Canis lupus familiaris: one gene and its partners. The protein of the gene in region 1 interacts with the protein of each later gene in a biochemical or structural test. Links are inferred from orthologs where the notes say so. Each region holds a gene or a part of one and is shown in the gene's direction. Other genes may lie near its edges. The genes, in order: BMP7, ACVR2A, ACVR1, BMPR1B and BMPR1A.

The links.
Region 2: the proteins of BMP7 (region 1) and ACVR2A are reported together in a solved structure, tested with the Homo sapiens proteins (2 studies listed by BioGRID, with this or other methods). The link is inferred for Canis lupus familiaris from reciprocal best matches to the Homo sapiens genes BMP7 and ACVR2A.
Region 3: the proteins of BMP7 (region 1) and ACVR1 form a complex in vitro, tested with the Homo sapiens proteins (2 studies listed by BioGRID). The link is inferred for Canis lupus familiaris from reciprocal best matches to the Homo sapiens genes BMP7 and ACVR1.
Region 4: the proteins of BMP7 (region 1) and BMPR1B form a complex in vitro, tested with the Homo sapiens proteins (2 studies listed by BioGRID). The link is inferred for Canis lupus familiaris from reciprocal best matches to the Homo sapiens genes BMP7 and BMPR1B.
Region 5: the proteins of BMP7 (region 1) and BMPR1A form a complex in vitro, tested with the Homo sapiens proteins (2 studies listed by BioGRID). The link is inferred for Canis lupus familiaris from reciprocal best matches to the Homo sapiens genes BMP7 and BMPR1A.

Annotation. Positions count from the first base shown.
Region 1 is NC_049245.1:43,038,941-43,045,063, reverse strand, and holds the start of BMP7 (bone morphogenetic protein 7 precursor), read left to right. Parts: upstream 1-2,331; coding exon 2,332-2,749; intron 2,750-6,123. UniProt on the Homo sapiens protein: Growth factor of the TGF-beta superfamily that plays important role in various biological processes, including embryogenesis, hematopoiesis, neurogenesis and skeletal morphogenesis.
Region 2 is NC_049240.1:51,343,010-51,348,424, forward strand, and holds part of ACVR2A (activin receptor type-2A), read left to right. Parts: intron 1-2,534; coding exon 2,535-2,644; intron 2,645-2,845; coding exon 2,846-3,000; intron 3,001-5,415. UniProt on the Homo sapiens protein: On ligand binding, forms a receptor complex consisting of two type II and two type I transmembrane serine/threonine kinases.
Region 3 is NC_049257.1:4,088,067-4,093,953, reverse strand, and holds the start of ACVR1 (activin receptor type-1), read left to right. Parts: upstream 1-2,116; 5' UTR 2,117-2,196; intron 2,197-5,887. UniProt on the Homo sapiens protein: Bone morphogenetic protein (BMP) type I receptor that is involved in a wide variety of biological processes, including bone, heart, cartilage, nervous, and reproductive system development and regulation.
Region 4 is NC_049253.1:21,980,718-21,986,595, reverse strand, and holds the start of BMPR1B (bone morphogenetic protein receptor type-1B), read left to right. Parts: upstream 1-2,231; 5' UTR 2,232-2,298; coding exon 2,299-2,441; intron 2,442-5,878. UniProt on the Homo sapiens protein: On ligand binding, forms a receptor complex consisting of two type II and two type I transmembrane serine/threonine kinases.
Region 5 is NC_049225.1:35,395,519-35,401,499, forward strand, and holds the start of BMPR1A (bone morphogenetic protein receptor type-1A), read left to right. Parts: upstream 1-2,309; 5' UTR 2,310-2,383; intron 2,384-5,981. UniProt on the Homo sapiens protein: On ligand binding, forms a receptor complex consisting of two type II and two type I transmembrane serine/threonine kinases.

The DNA of each region.
Region 1 (6,123 bases):
CCCTGCTTGCCACCCAGGAAGTACTTCACTGATTGTTGCGGAAGGAAGGAGTTAATGGATAAAGGGCAGGTGGACGGGGCTTCCCAGAGTGCCTCGACTGACAGGTGGGCAGAGGCCCAGCCCAGGGTCAGGGCGCTCAGGACCTGCTGCATCTCAGAGCTGGGGCCTCAATAACGGGTGGGAGCCTGTGATATGAATGGGCATGACCTGCAAACCTTGCATCCCTCACCTCCTTGCCCACCTTCTGGCCTCACCTATCCACCTCCGTGACCCCTCAGACTGCCATCTTGTCCAAAGCCCCCAGAGGGCTACAGGGCAGAACCAGCTCTGCTCCAGAAAACTCTAGAAGGTCAGGTTTCTCTCTGCCAATCCTGGAGCTTTCTCCTGTTCCCCAGTGAGGCTTGGCCTGACTGCTCCCGCCAACCCTCGTCTCCCCACCTCAGCCATCCACCTTTCATCCCAAGCTGCCCGTGGCAACCCTCCAACTAGCCCATCATCTGGGAACCCCGAGCTGTGGATTTGCCTGGTGGGGGCAGCCCCAGGAGGGGAAGGAGGCGAGGATGCACTTTCACTTGTGGCCTCACTTGCATTGTTTTGCTCCCATTTTTGCAGTGAAGGAATGGGGTTCCTGAAGAGCAGTAACTCACAGGAGGTCTCAAGGCATGCTCCAGGCTGTCGGGGTGCCTGTGTCCATGGCCGGATGTGCTGGGCTCTAGGCAGCTCAGGATGCTGGCGGGATGGACCTCGGGCACAGGCCCTCAGAGGAGGACTGGGATGCAAGGTGACCACCTGCTCCCCAGACACTGCCGGCAGGGCAGGGCCCAGGGGTGGGGTCGGGATCCGGTATGTAGAGTCAAGCTGAAGAGTGCTTGGAAATAAGCCGGGGCCCCCAGGGGAGGAGGTGGGGAGAAATTCTGCAGTCCACACAGTCGTTCCTCAAACACTGCGCAGCTGCAGGCAGCTACGGGGACCTGGGTTCAAGGCGCTGTGGGTACAGAGGAGACCGAGAAAGCGCCAGCCTGTTCCCCCCCTTCCCCAAGCGGCACCTCTGTTTCCGTTGGAGGACACAATACGGTAAGGGAGGCGCGAGTAACCCCAACAGCAATTGCAGACCGTGAGGGAAGTCAGAGAAAAGAAGACAAATGTGCACAGGGGTCAGGAGGGGAGGCCACCTTCTCTCTCCCGACCTGGGAGGAAGTGGCACCCAAGTGGCACGGGGAGGTGGAGGCCACCGGAGCTAGGCGCAGATGGGGGTGGGAGGGATTAAAGGGAAGGGGATTCCAGGCAGAGGGAATGGCAAGTGCAAAGACAGCCTAGCGGTTCGTGCTGGGAGGCGCGGCGGGGTCCGCGTGGCTGGAGCAAACGGCGAGTTGGTGGAGCAGAGGGACGAGAGGGGCTCGGGGTCTCCTCCTCCGGGAAGCCTTCCCGATTGCTGCGCTGCGCCCCTCCCTCCGTCCCTCCCTCCCTCCCTCCCTCATCTTCTTCTACCTCAGCCCCAAAACGAATCCCACGGGTCGCTCTGGCCTCCTCCCTCCCTGTCCCGACCTCGAGCCCGGAGAGGCCAGGGCCGGCTCGGATTCCCCCGTCCGCATCCCCGCGGCGCTCGGCCGGGCGCCGGGCACCCCGTGGGCACTCGGTAAATATTTGTAAAGCGCAGTAGAAGGAATGAATGAACCCATTGGGCGCAGCTGGGGGGAGGGCGGGGCCGAGGGCAGGTGGGAGGCCGCGGGCGCGGGAGGGGCCCCTGGAAGCCCGTCCTCCGCCTCCTCCTCCCAGGCCCGGGCGCGCACCAGTCTGGGGCTCCCGAGGCGGCCTCTCGTGCGATCCAGGGCGCGCGCGGCTGGGGGAGCGGCCCGGGGCCCCTGCTCCCGGCGCCGGAGTTCGGAAGAGCGCGGGTCGCCGCCGCCCGAGGGCAGAGCGCGAGCGGAGCGGGAGGAAGGAGCGCTCGCCCGCCCGCCGCCCGCCGCCGCCCGCCGCCTCCCCGGCGCTCGCTCCGCGGCTCCCGGGTCTGCTGGCTGCTCCTCCCACCCGCGCCCGCCTCCTCGCCCGCCCGCCCGCCCGCTCGCTCCCTCCAGCCGGTTTCCAAGCCCCGCGGTGCGCCCGGGCGAGTGCGGGGCGAGGGGCCCCGGGGCCAGCGCCGAGCGGGGGGCGGGGGTCCGGGCAGAGCGCAGCCGGCCGGGGAGGGGCCATGTCTGGCGCGGGCGCAGCGGGGCCCGTCTGCAGCAAGTGACCGAGCGGCGCGGACGGCCGCCTGCCCCCCTCCGCCACCTGGGGCGGCGCGGGGCCCGGAGCCGGGGGCCCGGAGCCCGGGTGGCGCGTAGAGCCGGCGCGATGCACGTGCGCTCGCCCTGCGCCGCGGCGCCCCGCAGCTTCGTGGCGCTCTGGGCGCCCCTGCTCCTGCTGCGCTCCGCCCTGGCCGACTTCAGCCTGGACAACGAGGTGCACTCGAGCTTCATCCACCGGCGCCTCCGCAGCCAGGAGCGGCGGGAGATGCAGCGCGAGATCCTCTCTATCCTGGGCTTGCCCCACCGCCCGCGCCCGCACCTCCAGGGCAAGCACAACTCGGCGCCCATGTTCATGCTGGACCTGTACAATGCCATGGCGGTGGAGGAGGGCGGCGGGCCCGACGGCCAGGGCTTCTCCTACCCCTACAAGGCCGTCTTCAGCACCCAGGGCCCCCCTCTGGCCAGCCTGCAAGACAGCCACTTCCTCACCGACGCCGACATGGTCATGAGCTTCGTCAACCTCGGTGAGTGAGGGCAGGAGGCGGGGTGGGGGTGGGGGCAGCGTCTCGGTCCAGGGGCGCTTTGGGACGGGGAGGGGGCCGCTGCTTGCATCTTGACGCTCGCGGCCCTTTGCAGAAGCGCAGCGCCCGCCCCGGGGGCTCCGACCCCCAGCCCCGGCGGACTCCCAGCTGTGCGCGCCCCCCAGGTAGGGCGGCCCGGGCTCGTCCGGCCTTGGGGGTGGGGGGGGGGCTCGGCGGACGAGAGGGCTGCTCCGAAGCCCCCTCCGGGTCAGGTCGGCGGCCGCACCTCCGGGGCTGGAGGCGCCGGGCCGGCCGCGGCTCAGTTCAAAGCGCGGGGCTGGGTCATGTGAGCTGTGCCGGCCCGCGCGCCCCGGCTACCTGGATTTAAAGGGCCCTGCGGGGCGCAGCCGCCTTCCCGCCCTTTCGGGGCCCCCCTGGGCCCCGCCTGGACCTGGCACCCCGACGCCGCGCCCCCTCGCCGCCCCGGCCCGCCCTACCTGCGCCCTCGCGGTGCGCCCGCCCGAGCGTGCCGCGCGCCGCCTGCGCCTGGGGGGGGGGGCCCTGCGTGCGGCCCGGCGCCCCCTGGCTCTCAGCTCTCCTGGCGGGGGCTGGGGAAGAAACGGTGCCATGGCGAGCTTTCTATTTTAAATATTTAATGATAGGTCCCGGGCGGGCACAATCCATTTTCAGCGTTTATCACGTGTGGCGCGCAGACCACGGCTTTTGGCGATGGAGTGGCGCGGAGCTCGGAGCAGCCGCCGCGGGGGGCGGCCGGGGGACCTCGCCGACGACCCGAGCCGCGGGGGCCGGGGCTGGGGGGGCCGAGGCGGGGGCGCGGGGGCTCCTCCTCCCTCCGTGCACGCACGTCCGCCAGGCTTGCTCAAACTAACCCCCGGCGGCGCGCTGCAGGGCTGGCGATCAAATATTTGGTTTCCGAGATAACACGCCCCGATAGCGTTGTTTCCTGAGCCGATTTCATTCTACTTGCGGCGAAAATCCGAACGGGATCGAGACCGCAGAGTCACGCCCACGGACGCCGCGTCACCCCGGCGGTGATTCTGGAGCCCCTCGCTGGGGGCGCGGGGCGCGGGGCGCGCGGGTGGGGGCGCGGGGCGCCGGGGACCCACCCTGATGCTCCCAGCTGCGGAGAAGGTCGCCTTCGTCTGCCCTTCCTAATAGCCGAAAATCAAACAGTGCAACGAGTTTCAGCGAGAAAGGGGTGGGAGGTTCAGATGCCAAAATAACTTCAAGAAAGTTTAAATTATACTAAGCGGCCAGTTAGAAGGAGGCAGCTCCATATGTCCCGATTTAGAACAATCTCCAAGATGTATGAGGTGGAAAAGAGCAAGGTGCAGATCAGTGAGGTTACGTAGGCGCTTGTATATCATCTGTTCCCCCCTGGAAGAAGACACCGCCAACTGGAAGTAGGTTTTACTGGGGGGCGGGGCAGGGCAGTGGGAGCTGGGGTCTGATTTCTGATTTTTCATTGTCTGCACTTTTGTCCGTGTGATTCTTTTTTTTTTTTTTTTTTTTTTGCAACGTGTATGTGTGACCTATACCAGAAACTAAAGACTTACACACATATATAAATATATATGAATTAATATGTAAATTAAAGCAGGACACACTCTGTAGTGTCCAGAAGCTGGTGGTTAGCTGGGGCTAGGCCCTTTCTCTGGCGAGGGATTTGTGGTATCCTCTGTCCTGTTGGGTACCCACCCACGAGTCTCAGTGAATGCCGCAGGTCCCAGTGGTGGCCTTCAGGGCCAGGCTGGGGTCATTAAAAAGGCATTTGTAAGCCCTGGCTTCTGCAAACCCAGTGCCAAAAATCACCTTGCTGCTTCTGTGGACCAGCAGTGTGGCCGGGGTTCCCCCCACCCCAGAGGAGGAGGAGGCTGCTGACTGGGTGCCTCTGGGAACCTTGGGGCAGAGCTGTTTGCTCCCCCTCGGTGGTGGGAGCAAGCCGATACTTGTTTGGGAAGGCCATAGCTGGGTGGTTCTCCTCCTCTGGCTGTACACACACACCTTTCAACCCGTTAGCCCCATTTCTTTCATCTTGAAAGGACAAAGACCGGCTTGTCTGAGCCTCTTAATCAGTCGGGCTGGCTTTGGGCTTTGTGGGACAGTCCTGACTTTCTCAGGTCGTGCTTTCTGGAACATCACTCCAAATTAGATGGCGCAGTGGCTTTTAACAGAGTGTGCACTGGTCTTGTTTTCTTTCCCTAGCTGTCCCTAAAACTCGAGGTAATTGGTTGGGTGAAGACCTGGCCTGCAGTCTGGCAAGACTCCTCCTGTAGGCACTTTAAGGGTGGCCTTTATTTCTGCTCAGCAGCAGCATGGGACGAGTAAAGCTCCTGTCTCTTCCATTCTGTCTGGGGCTTGGGGATTTCTGTATGGCAGGGGCTTGGGGGTGGTAGTGGCGGTGGAGGGGAGTGCGTAGGAGACCAATCTGGAAGCTAAGTTTGCTAAGGAAGCACAACTGTTTTTCCTTGGACTGCAAATCATAATTGATCTGTAACATGCAAAGTTTTCTAAAGGTGCATTAAGTCTCACACTTTATCCAATAATAAGAAAATGTCATTTGTTCATATCAGACCCTTACTTGGGTAACACGTGGAGGGGGTGGAGGCCTGGGGCGACTTCGGGGGGCTGCTGAGGGAGAGGCTGACTTTCTCTACTGCCCCCTCCTTCCTCCGCCACATAGCGCTGCTGTCCTGCCGTGCCTGGGGGACCTCGGACCAGATTCTGAAGGCTTTTGCAGACCTGGTGCCTTTATTCTTCCTTCTGTCTGCAGCCAAACTGGTTTTTGTTCCTATAAGTCCTCCTCCTTGGAATTCAAGCTTTTTGCCAGGCGGAGCGGGATCTAAACTAGAGAGGGAGCTAGAGGAGAATGTACGACAAAACCAGGTGCTGAGAATGAGGACTTCAGACCCCACCTTGTGACAAAGAGTGGCCCGTCCGATGAAGCCCCGTGTAATGCTCGCCGAGCCACGGAGGGAGACCCACCTCTTCTCAGCCCGGGCCTCTTCAGTTCAATGGCGAGATTTGTAAACTGGTTTGGATTAACAAGCCCCCGACTCCTCTGTGTAGCCTTAATTTTGGAATTCAAAACAGGCTACCCTCTCTGAAATTGTCCCCAGGCAACGTGAGTTCTGCAGACCGAATCAGCTAGAGCCCCCTAACCATTCCCCCCGCCCCTGGAGAAATCCAGCAGCTCCTTTTGGAATCTTCAAAAAGAAGCCGGCTGGCATTAGGGGTGTGTGATGCATGTTCCTCTCTGGCCCAGGTTATGAAAGAACCAAATTTGTTTTAATCTTCGAAGCTAAATTAAAAAAAAAAAATACGGAGTTGGAAGCCGGTCGTTATTGGACTCGGTG
Region 2 (5,415 bases), on another chromosome or scaffold:
TGGCCTATCCACTTTCAAGAGGCTCAATTGATAATCATGAACAGGTGGTTGATTAGCCACATGTGATTTTTTAAAAAGATTTTATTTATTTATTTGAGAGAGATTGCAGAAAGAGACAGAGTGTGCATGAGCGAGCATAGGAGTGGTTGGGAGTTGCAGAGGGAGAGGGAGAAGCAGACTCAGAGCAGGAAGCCTGACGTGGGGCTTGATCCCAGGACCCAGGACCAATCACCACCTGAGCCCAAGGCAGATGCTTAACTGACTGAGCCACCCAGGCACTCCAGCCATATGTCATTAATAGCAAAATTGTTGAATAAGCCCATGAAGATGGAATTATCTCAATTTTTCATGAGAAATTAAAATCTTACACATACACACACACACACACACACACACACGGTATTGTAGTATTTAGGATATACTTCTAAATCTGTGGATTTTCCAGGGCTTATTTCTCTGTAATTACACATTTTAGCTGCATTTCTGATTCTTGGCCTCTCATTAATAGAGGTGATATTTGCTTTTATGAAAAGTAACTAGGGCCACTAGGAAAATAGGATGGAGGTTCCTCAAAAAATAAAACTACCCTATGATCCAGCAATTCCACTTTTGGGTATTTATCTGGAGGAAATGAAAATATTAACTTGTAAAAAGATACATACACCCATATGGTTATTGCAACATTATTTATAATAGTCAAGATTGGAAGCACCTGAGTGTACATTGATGGATAAAGAAAATGTGGTGTGTACACACACACAAACACATACACACATAGAGGATGTTATGCTAAGTGAAATTAATTAATTGTATAGAGAAAGGTGCAAATACAATATGATCTCACCTAATGTGTAGTGTATATTGTATGTTTAAAAGTTGATAAGACAGTAGATTTTTGTTCTGTCTTTTTTTGTTTGTTTTGTTTTTTTTTTTTAGAGAGAGGAGGTTGGGGAGGGGCAGTGAGAGAGACAGGAGTTCGATTTCATGACCCTGAGATTTCAGCTGAAATTCGGAGTCATATGCCTAACTGAGCCACCCATGTGGTTTGATGAGAGAGTAGATCTTGAAAGTTCTCACCACAAGAAAAAGAATTTTTAACTATGTGTGATGTTGGACATTATATTATTGTGGTGATCATTTCACTATATGTACAAATATGAAAGCCATTTATGTTGTATACTGGAAACTAATGTAGTGCTATGTCAGTTTTATCTCCAGAAAAGTGGGGAAAATATTTTTTCCAAATTATCTTTTATTAATTAGTTGAAACCAGAGATCCTTGTTCTTTTTGTAGTAAAAACTACTGTTCGTCTCACCTGATAGTTAAGAGAAGGAAAAAGAAAAGATTCAAGAAATATCAAAGTATGGAGAAAAGACAATGATACAAAGAATGAAATTGGATAGGGAAAAGTACTTTTTTGAGTTAATTTGGCTAAGTAATCATTTTCCCCTCCTATAATTTGAGGCATGATTCTAAATGTTAAGATTTTAAACATATATTTTTTATAACTTAAGATTTAGCTTTCAGTTGTCTTTTATTTTCTATTAAATAGAATTGGTGTAGATTTAATTTTAATGTTTGATTTTGTTAAAACAGCCTTCTCCCTGAAATTTCTTAAGCTTTCCATTTTAAATTCAACCTTATTATTCTAACAGCCATCACAAAAGTTTGCAGTTTGTAGGATATGTCTTTAAATTTACCTGATGTTTATTAGCATATTTAAAGGTTTGTTGTTGTTGTTGTTATCTGTTTGTTTTCAAACAGGTATGGCTATTTATTGGCTGATTAGGGTTTGTTCTAGTGGCTGAATCCCTATCTCCTCAGCTCCCCAGTCAACCTCATATCAGTTTTTGAGTTATTAGGTTCTATATCTTGTTACATTTTGTTTTCTACTTGTTGGTTATCTTACCCTTGCTCATTGTGTTTAGGGAATTTAAATCTACTCCAAAAAATGATACTGTTAATTCCCAAACCTAGCTTGGGTCTGTGATGTTGAGATAGGTCCTGCCATGAAAGGAACTTAGGTCCTTGTGTGTGTGTGTGTATATTTATATATAAACATATACGTATATATGGGTATCGGTGTGTACACATACACATAGTTTTATTTATAGTGTTCAGCTTTTTAATTCATGCAATGGGAAAGCTATATGTCCTGTAAGAGAAAGCACTTGTAAGCCAAATTTCTTCGTTGGCTCTATGTTCCTTTTTACACTTTTCTAATAATTAAAGAAACATAGTTGCCTTAGATTGATGATTTAAAACCAGATTAAGGTCATAGCAGTGGCCTCAAGAAGCTAGTGTCATTGCTGTAAAAGCAGCTGGTTTTTGTTTTTAAGTGAGATTTAGTAGAAGGATTACTGGAATGTTTTTTGGCTTTTAAGAATTGATCATTGGATATTAATAAAAATCTTTTAAGTTGACCATGAATGACTTTTCCATTATTTTATCTCTGAGAAGAATTTTAGAAAAATACCCATTGTGGATTCAGTTTAATGCTGATTTTAATGATTTCTCCTCTGTTTGTTTATAGGACTGATTGTATAGAAAAAAAAGACAGCCCTGAAGTGTATTTTTGTTGCTGTGAGGGCAATATGTGTAACGAAAGGTTTTCTTATTTTCCGGAGATGGAAGTCACACAGCGTAAGTTCACAGGGAAAATACATAGATCTGTTCAACTAGTACACTGAAAGCAAAACATATTTTGTGTTGATGGAATAATTTACTCCTACCTTCTCCTACTCTTGTTTTTCTCCTAAAATTTGATGCTATAAATCAATAAATACTTATTGTGGAATTTTGTAGACCAAAGCTGAATTGTTTTTTTCCTTCCATTTTCCACAGCTACTTCGAACCCAGTTACACCTAAGCCACCCTATTACAACATATTGCTTTATTCCTTGGTGCCACTTATGTTGATTGCGGGGATTGTTATTTGTGCATTTTGGGTGTATAGGCATCATAAGATGGCCTACCCTCCTGTACTTGTTCCAACTCAAGTAAGTTGTCTTGTACCTTGTGCTGTTTTAAGTTGTATATTTTACAGAACTATTACTGTGGTGAAACCCACTGGGTTGCTATAAGTCATTTTCTTTTGGTGTTACTTTTTGAATGCTTATTGTTATGGCAACTATAGCTAATTTTCCAAACTTAGTAATTTGCTGTGTCCTAAACTTTTCTCACTTTGGAGCTGAGGTAAGGTAGAACAAAGGGTATTCTGTTCTTTGGACAGTTTCACTGTCATTGTAATACTTTCAAGTGTGAGATTTACCCAGCTTTGTTTCTTGAGAAGTAATTGATGGATAAGTGATATCATAACCTGTCCTTTCTCTTCTTTCTTCCATTCCTTAATTCTTTTGCCTTTTTCAAGACTACTTGCCAAAATATCCTTTTAACCATAGGGAGAGTTTTAGTAAGGTGATCCAGAAAGTGTGGAAAAGGAGGTTTCACAAAGGCATCAGGAAGCTATATACGAAAAAATGTTTCTGGGAAGAGGAGCAGATGAGCAATGCTTTTCATCATTTATTAGTAATAGTTCAAGTGTTTTTTGTTGTTATTGTTTTTGCAGCATATCAAGTGTGTACTGAAAACTAAAAAGCTTTTTTTTTAATACTAAAAATTTTTTCAATGCCCTCGATGCTCCCTCTCCTGACCCCAAATCTACCTTAAACTATAGATATGGTGGGTAATCAGATTAAATTCATGAAATTTTCCTCTTTCTCTATCACATAGACAGTTGGTACTGGTACAATGGTTTACAAGTTCTTTTAATATAAGTAGCTAATATTCTGCAAACTCAGGAAGGGTGAAAACTGTAGTTATACTTGTTTGCGACATCTTCAAACTCTAGTTTTAACTGTGTTTCTTTCAACTCTTAAGATCAGATTACCTTGGCCTTTTGGATCTGTGGTTTAACTGTTACTCTAATACTAGGATTAATGGTTAAAACGTGGTAGAAGAATGGTAAAGTCCTATAATTTAATGACCAAAACAACTTCTTCTCTGTAAGCTTTATTTACATAACATACTACTTTCTCAGTACTTGGCAGCAATCTGTTAGCATTAGGTTATTGATCCACATAATCTTTGTAAGATGTATACATGGAGAAATAAACCCAAAGGTAAAATACCTTATTCAGTAAATTAGGTAAACACTGTTTTGTGCAGCTGAAATATTTTAACTTTTAAACCTTAGTTACCAACTTGTGGATTTATTAAAAATTATCTCTGAAAGTATTTTAAAATAAAAATTTTCGCTGCCTAATAAACAGATGTAGCTTACTCCAGATGGCCATAGGATCCACTTTATCTGCCTTTGGTGGTAACTATTTTTTGATTTCTATTTTTAGAAGAAAGAGTATTTAGTACTTAGTGTCTGAATTTACCCTAGATTTGTGATATAATAGAAGAAAACTAGAAACTGAATTGAAAAATAAATTTAAGTTTTTTAATGGAACTTTAAAAATAAAAATGTATTCTTATAGATAACATTGATATTTATATAATATTGGCACAAAGTTACGGTTGGACTTTTTAAAAAGGGCTCAGTATCCTATACATGAGGCCACTTTACTTAGAAATGCTAATTAATTTAAGGGGTTAGACTTTTAAAATGGAAAGATGCAGTTATTGTTCGTAAGTAACCGAGAACCAGGAGTCTCCAATGAATATCCATTTCTGGATTTTAGATTATTTGTTACCAGGTTAGTATTATTGTACACATTTATTTAGCACTTGGATTGCTCTGTGGTGACTTTGCATACACTACATGAATTACTGAAAACTGAGAACTAGATTTAAGATTTTGTGATGGAATGATCTGGAATGGTCAAGCTTTTGTTAGGCAAAATAAACTGTGGAAGAGGGATTGTCATCAGTTTGGAAATTTCATTTATGTCATCTCTCACTGTGTCTCAGAAGTATAGTGTCATGCCTTAAGTATCATTTTTAGTGAGAGGTTCTACAACACTGATTAGTGGCCATTTTGTTAAAAATGCTCAAGTTTTATCTCCAGTTTCAAAATAATTATTGATAATAATTATTGAAAACAACAGCAAGGATTTATTGAACTCTTACAGTGTACTAGGGTACTGCTAAGTTACACATATGTATAAATACTTAAGTTTTATATAAGAATATGTAAAAACATAAAATACATATTTTTTTCTCATGATTTCTAAATTGTGACTGATAGATAAGGCTCATCTTTGGAGTTTGTTAAAAAATACAAACTCCAGGGCCACAGCCCTGTAAGTATGGAGTGGGGCCTAAGATGATATGTTTCTAATAAGTTTCCAAGGTGATTGTGAACAGCCAGGTGTGAAAAGCACTCATTTGATTTTATCTCACAGGGTTTATGTAATTTTAATTTCAATTTTATAGATAAAGAAATTGAGACATAGCAAGACCCACAA
Region 3 (5,887 bases), on another chromosome or scaffold:
TCAATTTATATTACAAGGCCACAAGAACTACCTAGAATCCTCCCAGATAGTCTCCTGGAATGCAAGGTAGTCCCAGGGAGGTTGGGTTAGGGGGTTTTGTGTTGACAAAGTCACACAAGGCCACTACTGAAGGTACGGATACAACAGTTAAAAGCATAACAGGATTCATTGGTTCATTTATCCACTTACTCAGCAAACGTCTATTGGGCACCCACGTGTTCCAGTCTGCTGGGCATGATGATACACGTGAACACAGCCAACCTGGTCCCTGCCCTCAGGGAGCTTACGGCCTAGGGAGGACTGGGAAGGTTACCAAGAAGAGGCTGGTAAAATGAGGACTCTGTAAATGTACGGGACTGAGGAACATTCACACAGCACCTTGACGGGCTTTCAAGTAAGGGTCATCTCGTTTGAACCCCACGACGAACCTGGAGACAGGCTTTATTCCCTCCCCAGAGGTTAGAGACATGCCCAAGGTCATACAGTTTCTAAGTGGCGGAGCTTCAGCCAAGTGACACGGAGATCCCCGTTGTACTGTTTTACAGAGCAGGGGTACACGTAGGCATTTTTGCTTGATTGACCTGGAGTTTCCTCTCCCGATTCTCGGCAAGCAAGCGTGCAGGTACGGAGTCCCCTTGCGAAAAAACGCCCCCCCCCCCCCCCCCCCCCCGACTTCTCCAACCTATTGCTTATGTAACACCTGGGGGTTATTTCCTAGCTGTCTCACGTATATGTGCCTTACGTTCCTAATTGGATTGTAAACTCCTGACCTGCAGGGACCAGATCTTCCATTTCCTTTGCAACCTTTTGCAGCACTGCAGTCACCCAATAAATGCCTGCTGCATGAATGAACCTGTAGAGATAAAAATACTTTATGGTATCCCCATTTATTGGTTTCAGGCTCTTACTCTGCTTTGTGATAGGACTGTACATTATAAGCTTCTAGAGGGCAGAGGAAATGGCTTGGTGCTTTCCTTGCACTCAGCAGGCACCATGCAAAATTTGATCCCCGCATGCCTTTTTGATGCTCTGGATAATATTAGCACACTGGAGTGTTTTCGCGTATCCAAGGACCGAGGTTGTCAGCCTCCGTGCGGCGGGGAATGTTCCTTCCTTTCCGCAGTAAGCTGCCCTGGCGCCTAGGACGGGGCCAGATCGCCGCAGAAGCCCCCTCCCCCGTCCCCCGCTCATTTTTATCGCTAAGGAGGCCGACTGCGAGGATGGCAAGCTCTTGCATAACCCCGGACCTCGCGGGGAAGTGAGCAACGTGGAAGGGGATTCGGAGGCGCACGCCGAGCCCCGCCGCCCGCGCCCCCCGCGCCCCGGGAGCCGTCCCGCCGCCCCCCCGCGCCTACCTGCGCGCCCGCCCGCCCGCCTCTCCGCCCGGCCCCGCTCCGGCCTGGCCGCCGCCGCCCCGCCTCCCAGGACCCCGCGCCCGGCGCTCGCGGCGTCCTCGGCCCGGCGGGGGCGGCGGGGGCGGCGGGGGCGGCGGGGCCGGCGGGGCGGGGGCGGGGGCGGCGGGGCGGGCTCGGCGGGCTCGCCCCCGGCCGGGCGCCTGCAGGGGGCGCGGGCCCGGCCCCGCCCCGCCGCCTCCCTCTCCCTCCCGGCTCCTGGATCCGCGCCGGGAGGAAATGATGTGTTGCTGCCTGGTTAATCACAGCTCCAGACACCCATTGGCCGAGCGCTCCGCAGCCACTTCCTCCTCCTCCTCCTCCCGCCGCTCCCGCTCCTCCCGCTCCGGCTCCTGCTCTTCGCAGCCGCCGCCGCCGCCGCCGCCGCCGCCGCCGCCGCCGCCGCAGCCTCCCCTCCGCGCCCGGGAACTTTCCTACTCCGGGGCCGCCTCCCCGCCTCCCCGCCGCCCGCCGCCTCCCCGGCCGCGCCCCGCCCGCGCCCCCGCGCCTCGGGAAGTTTATCCCGCCGCCCCCTCCCCTTCCTCCTCCTCCTCCTCCTCCTCCTCCCCCGCCTCCCCTCCCTCCCTCCCTCCCCGGCTCTTCCCCGGTGGCCGCCGCCGCCGCCGCCGGGCTGCCCCCAGCCCCAGCCAGCGCGCCGGCCCGAGGGCAGGAGCGCCCCGGCCCCGCCGCCGCCGCCGCCGCCGCCGCCGAGTTCCGGGCTCGCCCGCCCGCCCGCGCCGCCCCGCAGCGCCCGGAGGGCTCGCTCCCCGCCTCCCGGCTCAGCCCGGCCGCGGCGGGACCAGAGGTGAGGGCGGGCGGCGGGCGGGCGGGGCGGGGGCGGCGGGGCCGGGCCGGGGCGGCGGGCGGCGGGCGGCGGGCGGCGGGCGGGCGGCGGGGGCCTCGCGGGCGCCCCCGGTGCCTCCTCCCCGCAGCCTCCCCGCCGGCGGGGCCAGCGCCTTGGAGCCCGGCCGTCCTGCCCGGGGCCGCTCCGTCGGGGCCGCGTCTCCGCTCCCGGCCGCGTCGGCCCCGCCGCCGAACGCCGGGCGCTTCCAGGAGGAATTTTCTGCGGAGACGCAGCCAGTAAACTCCGCTGAACTCCCGCCCGCCCCCCGGGCTTCCGAGCTGCAGTTTCAAAAAGCTTCAAAGCCAGGAATGTGGGATTCGTCTCCCGATCCCCAGAAGGCGAATGTGGTTACAGATGTTGCACGAGACTTTGCCAAGTTTAAAGCCCTTCGCTCACCGCCGTAACCCGGCAGCGAGGCTGGAGGCCGGGCGGGGGCGCCGCGCAGGGGCCGGGGCCGGGGCCGCCCCGCTCGCCCCGGGCTCTAGGCCGCCGTCGGTCTGTCCGGCCCGCGCCAGACGTGGCTCCCCTCCCCCCGCGCCCGCAGCTCCCTTTCCCCGGAGTTTTGAACGCTCCCTGCCTGGGGGAGAAGCTGCAGAGGAAGCTACCGAGGGAGGAAAACACACTGCGGGAGGAAAGTCATGGTTAAAAAGTTGTGCTTAATTTGGCTTTTGGAAGGTGGTAGCAGAGTAATCAGTGGATTTGTTCGTTTTGTTGGGCTTTCTTTTGTGTGTGTGTGTCTGTTTCAGAGAGATGGAGAGAGAGGAGACTAGGAGTGATGGCAAGTAGGGGATGGGAAAGAGGACTGGCCTCATGCACAGTTTGTATTGTTTTTGAGAAGAGGCCGTCTAATTGAGACTTAGATATAACCCAGTGGTTTTAAAGAATCCTGTCCCAGAGATGCAGACTGCTCTGACAGCCCAAGGGAAGGCGGTGGCAAAAAATAGACACCACCTCCCTTTTCCCCCAAAAAAATTCTTCCTGGAAAGGTGGTGTTAAGAAATTTCAGAGATGGGCTGATCCAAGTGGCAGGCCTTAAATGGAAACACTATAGTATGTCTTGGCACTTGTCTCTGGAGGTGGGTGGCTGGCTGGGGGCCCGGGCTTGGGCAGCCAGCAGACACTAGACTTGTGCTGACCTCAGACACTGGCCTCGCCATCCAGCTTTACAGTATGCTTTGGTATTGAAATAGGGGCCTCCCCTGTTTAGCTGGTGGGGACAGAGGGGTCAAGAGGTTGTCCTAGGCCTGGACGGGACTTGGATCACCTGGCTCCTAAGACCTAATCACTTTGTTTTGTGATGCAGTCGTTTCTGTTTTCTGGCCTGGAACTAAACACACAAAACAAAAACCAAAAAGGAAGTCTTTTGAAGCTGCAATGTGTGGGTCTTAAATCGACGGAATTGTGTGGTGGGTTAATAGCATTTCTGCTTCACCCCACATGCACGCAAACACTCAGAAGGTGGTGAATGATGTTGCAGTAAATTCTGGATAAATGGCAAAACTCAAGAGCTGGGAGGGGGGCTAGAATGGGTTCATACCCTCCTTTTCTGGAGTTCGGGTGAATTTTTCTTGAAATGGAGAGAGCGGGTTATAAGTAAAACTCGATTTAGGTAGTGGTGTTACAACTTTTGTACCGTGGAAGAGAGTGATCATTTGAATCCGAGTGAATTTCTTGTTATCTCTGAGTAATTTAAAAGAATATTAAGGATGCTGCTTTGAGATGGAGGAGTTTGCCTTCTTCAGGAATGTAATTAATTTCAGAAGTGGGGACCTTAATGCCATTAATAGCATTGTAATGATTTTTTTCACAGTAGTGATTTACCAAATTTTCTGCCTCTGTCCACCAAACAGCTAACAGTGATTGAAGCAGTGGAGACTATGACTTACCTTAGATTGCACTGAACCAATACTGTGAGAATCATGATAGACTTCTAGGTAGGGTTGTTGGATCAAGTAGTCCAGCCTTATGGGGGAGGAAGGGACAGGGCAGGGATGCGCTTGAAAAATGATCCTGTTATTCAAGGTCATGAGGTGAAGATTGAATCAATGTGTGTGTGTGTGTGTGTGTGTGTGTGCGCGCGTGCGTGTGCGCAAAAAGTACTTTAGACAAAGAGGAGCTGGGACTGGGAACAGTCCTCTATGCTTGTTCTGCTATTGGATCTCTGCATCTTGATTTATCTTTATGTGAAGGGGTCTAATGTACAACTTGTTAGACACTGGGGAGAAGTACACTGTTAATGGTAGCAAAAACCCTTTGATATGTTTGAATGAATTTGGTGACAGATATGTTGGGGAGCACCGGATATGTGCTAGGCACAGTGCTCAGCTCTTCACATGCATTTTTCATTACATTTTCACAGCAACCACATGTTTTATTATTATTTCACTCTTATGATGAGGAATTGAGGCTTCCTGAAATTGAGTAGTTGCCCTAGTTGTATGTAGAGCTAGTCCTCAGTGGAGTCAGGATTTGAACCAGGAGTTTGTGGGACTCTGGAACGCGTGTCCTCAGCCCCTTTTGGCCAGTGTTTGACAAATTTCATTCACTCATACACTGTCTTCAGGAGTTTGTTATGGCTAAGTTTCAGTCTATTAATTATTTAGTGTTTTTCTTTAAAGTGGTGATTGCCCTTAGAAAAACTTAAAAGATGTCATCTTTTAAGAAGAACCAATATATCATTGCCTTATTTGGAAAGCCAACTCCCTTGTTAGTAATAGGATGTAATCATAAAGATGCATTTGTACTCATAATAAAACCCCAGATTCAGGACAATGATTAAATGATTACCGTGTGTGTGTGTGTGTGTGTGTGTGTGTGTGTGTGTATTTTGCAGGGACCTGGGGAGGTTCAGGGAGGAAGAAGTAGGTAGATGATAGAGCATTGATGACCTTCTGGGGTTTTGGGTTGGGTGGTGGGTTCAAGGGTGCTGATTTTATTTTTAGACTTTCTAACCTACATACATGATACATATTTTTTGGTAAAAAGATAAAGAAAATTAAACACATGACTATTAACATAATGACTACTTGGGGAATATTTCCCTGCACTATGATGACTGTAGACAGCTCGGTGCCTGTGCGAAGTAGGCACGCAAATGCTGTTGGCTGATTGATAAGACCCCAGGTGATAATTTTAAAGCAAGTTGATTGTTGTCATACCTGAAGGAGATTGAGGTATGTCCCCCTTTTCTGTATTCTCCTGCTTCCACTCTCGTTTCAATACTGTGACCAACATCAGAGCGTGGGCTGCAGTGGTTTCTCCTGACTGTGGTTAGGGGAGGCTAGGGCTGAGCGGAAGCTGGCACTTGTCAGCCTCACCTCGTCGCATACATCTAGTACTCAGGATGGGTCAGAAAACGCTGTCATGAAGTGTTACAGTGCTTTCATTTTTATCCAGTGGGCACGTGTGACCATTCAGGCTGGGAAGCTGGGATTTAAGTTAAAGCAAAGCCTGGGTAAGATGTTAACAGCGTTAAACTGGCGAGGCTGAGAAGTGAAGCCATCAGAGATTTTAGTTGGAGTCCACATGGTCTCCTGTTTTACTTTCCCAAGCAAATATTGGGCACTGTGGCTTTATTCCTGGAAATGAGAATTTGAATTCGGTTTCCTGGTACAAAATGCCTTCTTTGATCTCCGGGAGTGAGAACTTTGTG
Region 4 (5,878 bases), on another chromosome or scaffold:
ACTAAGTTTTCATCTTCCTATTAAGTTTTGCATGTTAAGTATTTCTAATAATTTATTTAAAAATACATGATACAGCTTCTTTGCAAGTGTTCTGGTTTGCCACCAGAACACAGGTGTGAAAACTACCACTTAACCTAAACCAAAATGGGAAAGGAAAAGACTCACATCAACATCGTCGTCATTGGACACATAGATATGGGCAAGTCTACCACTACTGGCCATCTGACCTACAAATGTGGTGGGGTCTACAAAAGAACTATCGAAAAATTTGAGAAGGAGGCTGCTAAGATGGGAAAAGGCTCCTTCAAGTATGCCTGGGTCTTGGATGAACTGAAAGCTGAACGTGAACGTGGTATCACCATTGATATCTCCCTGTGGAAATTTGAGACCAGCAAGTATTACATGCCCCAGGACACAGAGACTTTTTCAAAAACATGATTACAGGCACATCTCAGGCTGACTGTGCTGTCCTGATTGTTGCTGCTGGTGTTGGTAAATTTGAAGCGGGTATCTCCAAGAATGGGCAGACCCATGAGCATGCCCTTCTGGCTTATGCACTGGGTATAAAACAACTAATTGTTGGTGTTAACAAAATGGATTCCACTGAACCACCCTACAGCCAGAAGAGATACGAGGAAATCGTTAAGGAAGTCAGCACCTACATTAAGAAAATTGGCTACAACCCCGACACAGTAGCATTTGTGCCAATTTCTGGTTAGAATGGTGACAACGTGCTGGGGCCAAGAGCTAACGTGCCTTGGTTCAAGGGATGGAAAGTCACCCGTAAAGATGGGAATGCCTGTGGAACCACACTGCTTGAAGCTCTGGATCGCAGTCTGCCACCAACTTGTCCAACTGATAAGCCCTTGTGTCTGTCTTTCCAGGACGTCTACAAAATTGGTGGTATTGGTACTGTCCCAGTGGGTCGAGTGGAGACTGATGTTCTTAAGCCTGGCATGGTGGTCACCTCTGCTCCGGTCAATGTTACAACTGAAGTCTGTTGAAATGCACATGAGTGAGGCTCTTCCTGGAGACAATGTGGGCTTCAGTGTCTAGAAGTATCTGTCAAAGATGTTCGTCGTGGCAATATGGCTGGTGACAGCAAAAATGACACACTAATGGAAGCAGCTGGCTTCACGGCTCAGGTGATTATCCTGAACCATCCAGGCCAGGTCAGTGCTGGATATGCACCTGTGCTGGATTGTCACACAGCTCACATTGCTTGCAAGTTTGCTGAGCTGAAGGAGAAGATAGATCGTCATTCTGGAAAAAAGCTGGAAGATGGTCCCAAGTTCTTGAAATCTGGGGATGCTGCCATTGTTGATATGGTTCCTGGCAAACCTATGTGTGTTGCGAGCTTCTCTGACTATCCTCCTCTGGGACGTTTTGCTGTTCGTGACAGGAGACAGACGGTTGCTGTGGGCGTCATCAAAGCAGTGGACAAGAAGGCAGCTGGAGCTGGCAAAGTCACCAAGTCTGCCCAGAAAGCTCAGAAGGCTAAATGAATATTATCCCCAATACCTGCCATCCCCAGTCTTAATCAGTAATGGAAGAATGGTCTCAGAACTGTTGTGTCAATTGGCCATTTAAGTTTAATAGTAAAAGACTGGTTAATGATAACAATGCATCGTAAAACCTGCAGAAGGAAAGGAGAATGTTTTGTGGACCTTTTTTTTTTGTGTGTGTGTGTGTGTGTGCATGTGTGGCAGTTTTAAGTTACTAGTTTTTGAAATCAGTACTTTTTAATGGAAACAACTTGACCAAAAATCTGTCACAGAATTTTGAGACCCATTAAAACGAAAGTTTTTTAAGTAAAGAGACTGGTAGGAAGAAAGCCCTAGGACCCAAACAATCTGGATTTAAATGCTAGGCTTCATGATTTATTAGATCACTTAAACTTTGAGTCTTAATTTTCTCATCTGCAAATAGGAATGATATTTACTCATACCATTACCATACAGAGTAGAGATGATCTATGTACTAGTGCTCATTGAACTCATTGCACTGAGTCAAATACAACTATTATAATTTAATGTATAGGTTGTTACCCTGAAATGGTTATGAGAATTTCTCTATTTTATGTGAGACATATATTATATGATTATAATAATTATATAAGTATAATTTCTAATATCAAAATCATTAAAATATCTGTTTTATGTTTAAATCTTTAAGTATCATAAATACTTAATATTTTGTTTAATCTCCTCATTCTTTGGATAGAAGACTTTGGTTGGACTCTCCCACAGATCCTTAAACTCTTACTCTTTCTTCTTTTCAGCAAACTTACTTGATAACATGCTTTTGCGAAGTTCAGGAAAATTAAATGTGGGCACCAAGAAAGAGGATGGTGAGAGTACAGTCCCCACCCCTCGTCCAAAGATCTTGCGTTGCAAATGCCACCACCATTGTCCAGAAGACTCAGTCAACAACATTTGCAGGTTGGTCATAAATGTTTTAACAAAAGGTTTTAACCTAGGTTTAACAAAAAGTCATACTTTTTTGACTACGAAATTGTAGGCTGATGTTACCCAAGAACACATTTTGAGGAATAGTGCCTAACTCCTTAACTCTCAGAGCTGTACCTGTGCTTAGAAAAATATTAAATTGCATTTTGGCCTGAAATGGCATTCTGAGATTCTTCTTCCTTTCTGCAAATATATCACATATGCACATCAACATAGAACACAGGTTCCGAGCTTGGGACAAGTGTCAAGGACAAAACTATTTTTTTTTTCCTAAAAGACCCTATCCCCAAAATAAATTCAACAGCAGAGGGTGTCAAATGTGTGAGGATTTTTATTAGTTTTAACCATTCATCCTGTCATTGGTGGTCAATATTTTAGAAAGAACACCTGAGTTGTTAGGAATATTCATTGACTCTGGGAAGCAGTGTAGTGATAGAGCTTATGTGAGCCCACCAGATGGTAGGAGAGACATTGTCAGAGTACTAGAGAATAAACTCCTTAGTGAATAATCATATTTGTATCAAAACTTTATTTGGAACTGGACTATTTACCTCTTTCTTTCTAATGCATCTTAATGCAGCTACATCCATTTTGCTAGGCACTCTAGCCTATATTTACACTCCTCATGAAACAGTGGCTAAAGAGGCATAGCCTAATAAGGCCAGTGTGCCCAGGGAGACATAGCAGAGTAACCAGACAAGTGCAGATCTCAAGAGTTAAGATGTCAGAAAAGCAGTATGTCTTTCAAGAAATAGGCCCAAATGGGAACATGGGCTGCTAGGTTTGAAGTCCATGCAGAATATCTGAGCAATAATTTAGGGCCTATTTACCCAGGAAGGAGCATAAAGCTGAGCTGAATGCTTTTTTTTTTTTCTTCTTCCTGAGAAAGAAGGCATATCCTGTGATATGTAGCTCAAGAAATATATATTAACTGAACGATAGGGGGGAATGTTAGGTATATTCATAAATACATATCTCCTTTTTTTTTTAAAACATCAAAGGATTTTTTAAAAAATTTTTTTTAATTTTTATTTATTTATGATAGTCACAGAGAGAGAGAGAGAGGCAGAGACATAGGCAGAGGGAGAAGCAGGCTCCATGCACCGGGAGCCCGACGTGGGATTCGATCCCAGGTCTCCAGGATCGTGCCCTGGGCCAAAGGCCTGCGCCAAACCGCTGCACCACCCAGGGATCCCTACATATCTCCTTTAATCAGCAAAACAACTGAGCATGGTAGGGCATGCTTATTTCTTATCATTAGACATAAGGAATTTAGGGCCCAGGGAAGTCCAGTAACTTGGCTCTTATATGGAGAACAAAGTTGGGATCACGGAGTCTTGTGCCATGGTAAAATGATTCCAGAGCTCAGATGGTATTTACTGGGAAATACCACCTGTTTGTAGTAAATGGTAAAAGTATCAGGAAAATGTCAAAGTTTTCTGAAAAATATAAAATTATCAGGAAGAAACATATTAGGTGGATATTTTACTATTTTGCCTGAGTCTGTAGTAATTAAGAATAAATCTGTGTGTGTCATTGGAGCTATAGTTCTGGTGATCACATGTGAAAACTTTGCAAAATTATCCCAACTTTAAATATTCTGTCCTATTTTCCTTATAGGACATTGGAGTGTCCTAAGTTGATTTGGAAGAAAGTGTTCAGACAGGGTTAACTGCAGGACAGATTCTTTGCGTGGGAAGGAGAAGTTTGGCATATTCAAAGAAGACTGGTTTTCCTAAAGTGCAGGGAGCAGGTGGAGGTGTGGCTATAGTTGAGCCTGGAGCTAGGAAAGATTATACATGGCCTGGCCGGCTTTATTAAGAATGTTCGTCTTATTTCTGGAAGCATTGGGAGGCCAGTGACGGAGATTTGTTTAAGCAGGAGTAGCAGTGGTATTAATGTGGATTTAGGAAAGACAGTTCATGTAAGGGAACATGATCTTGGACTAGGGTGGTGCTGGTGCAAGAGGGAAGTGAATGTGTTGGGGAATTATTTAGAAGGAAAGTTTTATTTTGATGAACTGGCTTCACAAATTGCTTGATGTACATTTAGATGTACAGTGTAGGCTTTTAATGAAAGAAGACAGAGAGAAGTAATTAAGTTCCAATCTGGACATACTGAGTTTAAGGTTTTGTTTTTTTTTTTTTTAAGATTTTATTTATTTATTCATGAGAGACACAGAGACAGAGAGGCAGAGACACAGGCAGAGGGAGAAGTAGACTCCATGCAGGGAGCTGGACATGGGACTGGATCCAGGATCTCCAGGATCACACCCTGGGCTGAAGGCGGCACTAAACCGCTGAGCCACCCCGGCTGCCCAAGTTTAAGGTTTTTGACCCCCCACAAATGGAGATACCAAAGAGTAGGCCGTGGGATATGGATTTGCAGCTGAGATGAGTTTGGGGGAAGAGTCTAGAGTGAGCAGAAGATGAGTCAGTTTTTGCTGTGAAATAAATGGTGTCAAAATCACAGTGACTTACAGCTAAAGACATTCATATTTTCATTCCTAGGCCTGCAAATGGGCTGCAGCTGTTCTGGGCCCTGCTGGATTGGGTGGGCTTGGCATTGGACTGTTTCCTTGAGTTTAGGCCTGTTCCACATGTTTGTCAACCCTTCTTAGAGTAGAAGCTATCCAGAGCTTCTCACTTGACTGTGAGGGAGCAGCATCTTAAAACTTGTATTTGTGGGATGTCCCCTAACATTCCATTTTCCAAATCAAGTGATTTGGTACCAAGTCAAGCTCAACTTCAGAGAGAAGCCATGGCTAGAGTGGTGCATGAAAAATTGAGTATAGTAATAAAATAATCCAATAGACCAGGGTAGGACTGAGCCTTGAGACATTTAATGCTTGGGTCAAGGAGGCTCTTCCCAGAAGATCCAGAATGAACATAGAACAGTGAGTATGGTATCATTGAAACCAAGTTTACAGAGGGAGGAAGTAAGGTCAGCTGTGTTAGAAGCTGTTAGAGGTCAAGTAGGGTAAGAACCAAAACACAGCAGTCAGATTTATTGACCTTGATAACTGTAGTTAAGAAATATTTATTCCAAAGTCCTTAATTCTTGACCATCAGCCAACCCTTGAAATGGCTCTCAAAGGAGCGAATATTCACTCTTGAGTAAAATGAACATCTTTTTTGCTAACAAGATGTTAACTCCAGTTGAGTCTCCTAGGAGCTGAGGTCAGTTGCGTGAATCACAGGGGCTACTTTGTTCCTGGGCCTAAGACCTAGAATAAATTCAGTCCTCCATTACTATAAGCTCATGATCTACTTTTTGACTTCCAAAAATCAGTACCTGTCATGCTGTCTCTGGTGAAACACATACACACACCCCCAACACCCAATCAGCTGCACTGATACTTTTCTAAAGCACGATAAAAATGAATTACTAGAGAATAGATTTAAAAATAC
Region 5 (5,981 bases), on another chromosome or scaffold:
AGGAAATTCTAATGTTTGCTGAATTATAAAATGTTAGAAAGAAAATATCTAGAAATGTTTAATTTTTCATTTATTCTGTCGTTAAGAAGACCTGATATGTTTTTAAAAGGATTACCTTTTTCTTAATGTGTTTTCTAGAACTAAGAGGCTTGAAAGTTTCAGACACAAAATCTTTGACGAAAACATTATTATACTTGTTTAGTGTTCAGTTTTGACTAGATCTTTCTAGTTGTTAAACACAAGTTCTTAGTGCTAAAAGCCTGTGTTCAGTTACCTTGTAAGTCAAAAGATTAAAGCTGTTGGGGGCATTTTGCCCACGTAAAATCCTTTTTATATACATGCACATATTTACGCATCTCTTCTTTTAGGACTGTAGCACTGTATTGCAAAGGTTAAGGAAAGCTTTACTTTATTTGCACAATTTCTAGTTTTAAAAAAGTGATGTGCAGACCTGTATGGTGAAGCATATCCTGTCCTTTGATTTTTTTTTATTTATGTCTTAGTATGAGGTCATGTTTACTTGGTTTTCCTTAGCTGGTCTTAAATTCAATTTTTAGACGATTTATACTTTGTCATTTATTTGTGCATGTGAGAGGATGGAGGGAGGATAGACAATTCAGGGTCTCAGACTTTGAAGATGGCATACTTGAAGATTCTTTTGATTATTCATATTTCTTTTTATTAACTTTAGATTTAGCCTGAAGCTTTTTTTTTTTTTTTCACACCAAGGAAACAGTTTTGTAATAAGCAGTGCCATGATAAGCAATGGTTAAATGTTTTATATGTTAATTTTATTTGATCCATTGGAAATATCTGGTAGAATTAGAATCAGGCCATATATTTTTAAACATAGTCATTTTGATGGATTGTTATAACCCTTATGAGAATGGGTTAATCTCTAGCTTTGTGAAATACAGTGATTGCCTTCCCTCTTTTCTTCCACCTACGCCATTAGGGAAGAATGGAGTTGTTGGCAAAGAGTGGCTTTGGAGGTAGATATTTGTCATTTCTAAAATGAAAACATAATGCATTTATTTTTTGATTATGTAAGGGAAATTTTTTAAGACTGTGAACCTCTCAGGAAAAAAAAAAATCCCTAAACACTGTATCTCTTCCATTCCTGCCCTCGTTTCTCTGAGTGATGGTCTAAGAGTTTTATTGTCCTGTGAATACCCTGAAAAATATTAGAGACCAGTTAAGTTGTGGGTAACCGGTGCATTGAGAAGACTGTTTAAGGCTCCTAAATGCAGACAAAGCATTACTAATTGCTTTCAGGGTCAGTCTGTCTTTAGTTGGACCATGAAAGATTTAGCATGGTCCTATGGCAGCCCGTCTGCTGAGTGGAGACTCTTGTCTTTAAGAAAGGCTGCTATCTGATATGCTAGACCGTTTCAGGTTGCCCCAGTTTACATGAATTCAGTCATTATTGCCAAGACTACTAAACCTCAGTGTGACACAAACGATACCTCTAAATGGACTTGAAGACAAAGGCATTTTGACCTTGCCGTGGGACATAGGTAGTGTTCATACAGCTTAAAATTTTTCCTTTTAAAATATGAAACAATACTTTGCTATTTGAAGTTTCATTTAAAAGATATGTTCATAGAAATTATTTTTAAGATCTCTAAGTAAGCAACATGCCTTTTTAAATAAATCAGAATTTTTCATTGTTTCCCGCTTTTAGATTTATCAACTTTGTGTCTTAATGCAGCAGGGAACTAAATGTCAGTGGAAACATAGTTGTAACCTATCCCCTGGGCTTAGACCAAGCAGTGCCATTGATTCCTGACCCCTCCAGTTCTTTAATATTCTAGGTAGAAGATTGACTGAAATTAGAACTACCTACTGAGATTTTGTGATAGAAAGTGAAAAATAGGGGTATTAGCTGGGTGGCCAAATATATTTTTGCCTAAGTAGAAATTTCAATACTGTAGAATTGTGGATTTTAGTGCTGCTTCTAACTGTTCCTGTTTTTTCGTTTTAAGATGTGATTTTTTTTTTCCTTCAGAAATCTAAGCTAATACAGAAATTTTGCATGCAAGAAGTTTCTTCCACAGAACTATTGTTACCTTTGTGAAGTTGAAAATATACAAAATAGGAAACATCTTTGGGCAGAGGTTGGGAAAATGATAAAGTGATAGGTTAAAATACTTTAGAATTTCATTGACTTTATGTTGAAAATATATAATTTTACACATGACGAATTTTTAGTATTGCTTTTGTGTGTTTCTTTTGGTCTAAGTAAGCTCTCTCTCTTTTTTTTAACAGATTTATGAAAATATGCATCAGTTTAATACTGTCTTGGAATTCATGAGATGGAAGCATAGGTCAAAGCTGTTTGGAGAAAATTGGAAGTACAGTTTTATCTAGCCACATCTCTGAGGTAAGGAAAAGACTTTTAAGAAAATAATTAGAATAATATGAACATTTTCATATCAACTATTTGAAAATAGTCGTGGAAGGTGGGTGGGGGAATGAGCTAAATTGAATTGGGTGATGGGCATTAAGGAGAGTGCATGTTGGGATGAGCACGCGGTGTTGTGTGTAGTGATGAATCACTAAATTCTCCTGAAACCAATACTATACTATATATTAACTAACTTGGAAGGAAAGAAGGAAGGAATTGAAAATAGTCCATGTGTATGTATTACTGCTGCAACTTTATTTTAGTCTTTTTAGTTTCTTTAAACACCTCTTTATGAGTTCATAAGTAGTTCTAATACATTTTCCCCTTCTTATTCATGTTTAAAGTCTTCAAAAATAAAAGGTACTCATTTATTACTGATATCACTTTCTTCACTCTAATTATAGAAAATAAGCATTAGATGATATATAAGGATGTATTTATCCCCCCTAAAGACAACCAGAGTTCAGAATGGAAGATTATGGATGTTTATATTATTTTGAATCTTTCACACATTATAGAATTCAGAATAAAAATGTTGTCTTAAAATAATAGGTTTTTGGAGATAGAATTTGTTTTAAAAGTAGGAACTGTCGTAACACCAAGGGTAGGAGAAAAGAAGCCGTTCTAAGAAAGGGGATGTCAAGTGCATTAATTTTGATCCATTTACAGACTCAGATTATCAGGTAAAAGGTTTGAATTCTTTAGGATCTATATTTTAGAAAAATAAATAGGACATATACTATGAAGTAGTCTGTACTCTTTCCTCGTAGGGTAGTTGGCTTTGCAGCAGTTGGCTGCTGCTTCTGTAGCGTGCTCATTCTTTTTTCTCACTCTGCCTTTGCTCTTTGTGTCTTTGCTCTTTTGAAAAACACTTACAACTTTTTAATTGCCTTTTATTAGGTTTCATACTCTTTGATCACTGTAGTAGTTGCTATTTTCCCTTTTTTGCAGTTCTCTTGGTTTCTATGACCCTGTGTTCTTCTCCTTCTTTTTTTTTTTTTTTTTTTAAGATTTATTTATTTATTCAGTCAGAGCGAGAGAGAGGCAGAGACACAGGCAGAGGGAGAAGCAGGCTCCATGCAGGAAGCCCGATGTGGGACTCGATCCCGGGTCTCCAGGATCACACCCTGGGCTGCAGGCGGCGCTAAACCGCTGCGCCACCAGGGCTGCCCGGCCCTGTGTTCTTCTAGCTCTACTTCTTTAATCACTCCTTCATAATTTTTCTTCTCCTCCTACTCTTAAGTAATGACCTCCACGAGGTTTTATCTTTGAAATTTTTCTGTTTCTTCTTTATGTTTTTCCTGATCTCATTTCAACAGTTACCTCTATAGTGATCTCTCAACCTTACATTTCACTTGTGTCCCTCTCTCTAAGCTTTCGGCCTGTATGGCCAACCGCTCGCGTCGCACCGGGGTTCCCATGTCTGTTAGCGGACATCTCTGTTACCCACACGCAAAGTCTCGGTGCCGGATGTGGTTCCTCACCTTTTCCTTCCCGCTCTAGTCAGAGATGCAGTCCCACCCGGTGGCCTCTGAATGTGCCGTGAATGTTTCCGTCCTTTCTCTTCCAGTCCCCCCATCCCCATCCAATGCTAGGCCCTTCCATTACATTTCACCTGAAATATCGCAGGGCCCTCGCGGTTGGGCGCTTCACTGCTGTGAGAGGAGGGAACAGTCCGGGAGGCTGCACATAGGACGTGATAGTTGAGTAGAGTCTCGAAAGATGAGAAAGATTGCCCAGTGGAATTTGGGAGGCGAGAGAATTTCACGCGCAGAGCTCAGCGTAAGCAAGGGAAGCCTGAGGTATATCGATTGTACAACAGACAGAAGAAATCATTTTGTGTGGTTTGAATTCAGGATATGAGAGCGGCTTTGAGGGACAAGGCGAGGAGAGACCTTGATGGTGAAGGACTCAGTGCTGTGGTCGGGAGTTTAGGCTTTATTTTGTGAATAGTTGGCAGCCACCGAAAAATTTTAACAGAGGCATTTTAGAATCATAATTTGTTTTGCTAAAATTAATCCTGCAGGGATATGGATGATAGTTTGGAAGGAGGAGGGGGACACCAAAAGCAGGCGACAATTCGGATGCTCTTAATTGTTAATTGTTTCAAGCAAGAAATGATGAGGCTCTTGATTTAGGTAGGGATCAACTTACCTGAAATTATGAAAACCTGTAAGCATTGGTTGTTAGCAAACATTCAGTTTTCTTCCTCTGTACCCCTCCGTGTATGTGTGGTACTCTTCAGCCAGTGATTTGAAGCTGCCTGTATTTCTTTGCTCTCTGCTCCTATTATTCTTTTCTCCTGACATGCTTTTTCCACTTTTTCTTGTGGTAGCCCTGTCAACTTTTAAGAACTCCTCTCGGGCAGCCTGGGTGGCTCAGCAGTTTAGTGTCTGCCTTCGGCCCAGAGCGTGATCCTGGAGACCCGGGATCGAGTCCCACGTCGGGCTCCCTGCCTGGAGCCTGCTTCTACCTTTGCCTGTGTCTCTGCCTCTCTCTGTGTCTCTCACAAATAAATAAATAAAATCTTAAAAAAAAAAAATCTCAAGTGCCAATTCACCCCTGAGGTCCTTTGTGATCTATATTTCTTTTTTTGGATGTGTGTGTGCGCGTGCACATGCACAACTGCTGGCAGTGGAGGGAATGTGTAAGGACAGAGAGAGAGGGAGAGAAAATCTCCAGCATGCTCCCTGCCCTGTGCAGAGCCTGATGCAGGGCTTGATATCATGACCCTGACATCATGACCTGAGCTGAAATCAGGAGTCAGGTGCTTAACTGGCTGAGCCACCCAGGCGCCCTTGATTTCTTTGACTCTAAGGATATATTCCTTCCTAATTTAAGACTCGAGAGCGCTTATTTTTGTTCTGTAGGATATTATTTATTTTGGTCTCTGTTAAACTGTGTAGCAGCAAGTCACAATGGAAGTATCAGAAAATAAAGAACATGGTCCCCATCTTCTATTTACAGTCATACCAGTAAGGTCTGTATATAAGTAATATGAGTAATGATCACTAACACTGCCAGGTAAAAATAATAAATGCCAGAAGAGTAATTCATTACTTCCTAATCAGAGTTCTGTAGAACTGCTAAGTACAGACAGAGCATGGGAGGGATTGTTTGACTTGGGATTTGAAAGATGAGTTAGGATTTGAATAGGTAAAGAATTAAAAGGTATTTCTAGAAAAGCTGGCTGATGGAAAACGAGTATTTCTCTATAAATATGGTAGAGGTCTTAGGCTAGGAAGTGTAACATCAAGAAAATCTTCCTTTAGGAAAATCACTCTAGCAGTGATGTGTGAATATATGTCATTAGAGAAATGGAGTGAGGGCTCAGGAGGCTCAGAAGGTTTTAGGAGGTGTGAGGTATGAGGTAATCAGAATTTAATCCAGGTAGTAGGGGTGGAAATGGAAAAGGAAGACCATGTGGAATAGATGTCAGGGGAGAAGAAGCAGTGATTTCTGATTTCTGACTGGTTGTTGGAAAGAGGTGCTGATGCCCACGCCTTCTATCTGGATAAAACAGATCATGTTGGGCAGTGCTGAGAGTAAACATAGGTGATTTTTCAAATCTGGT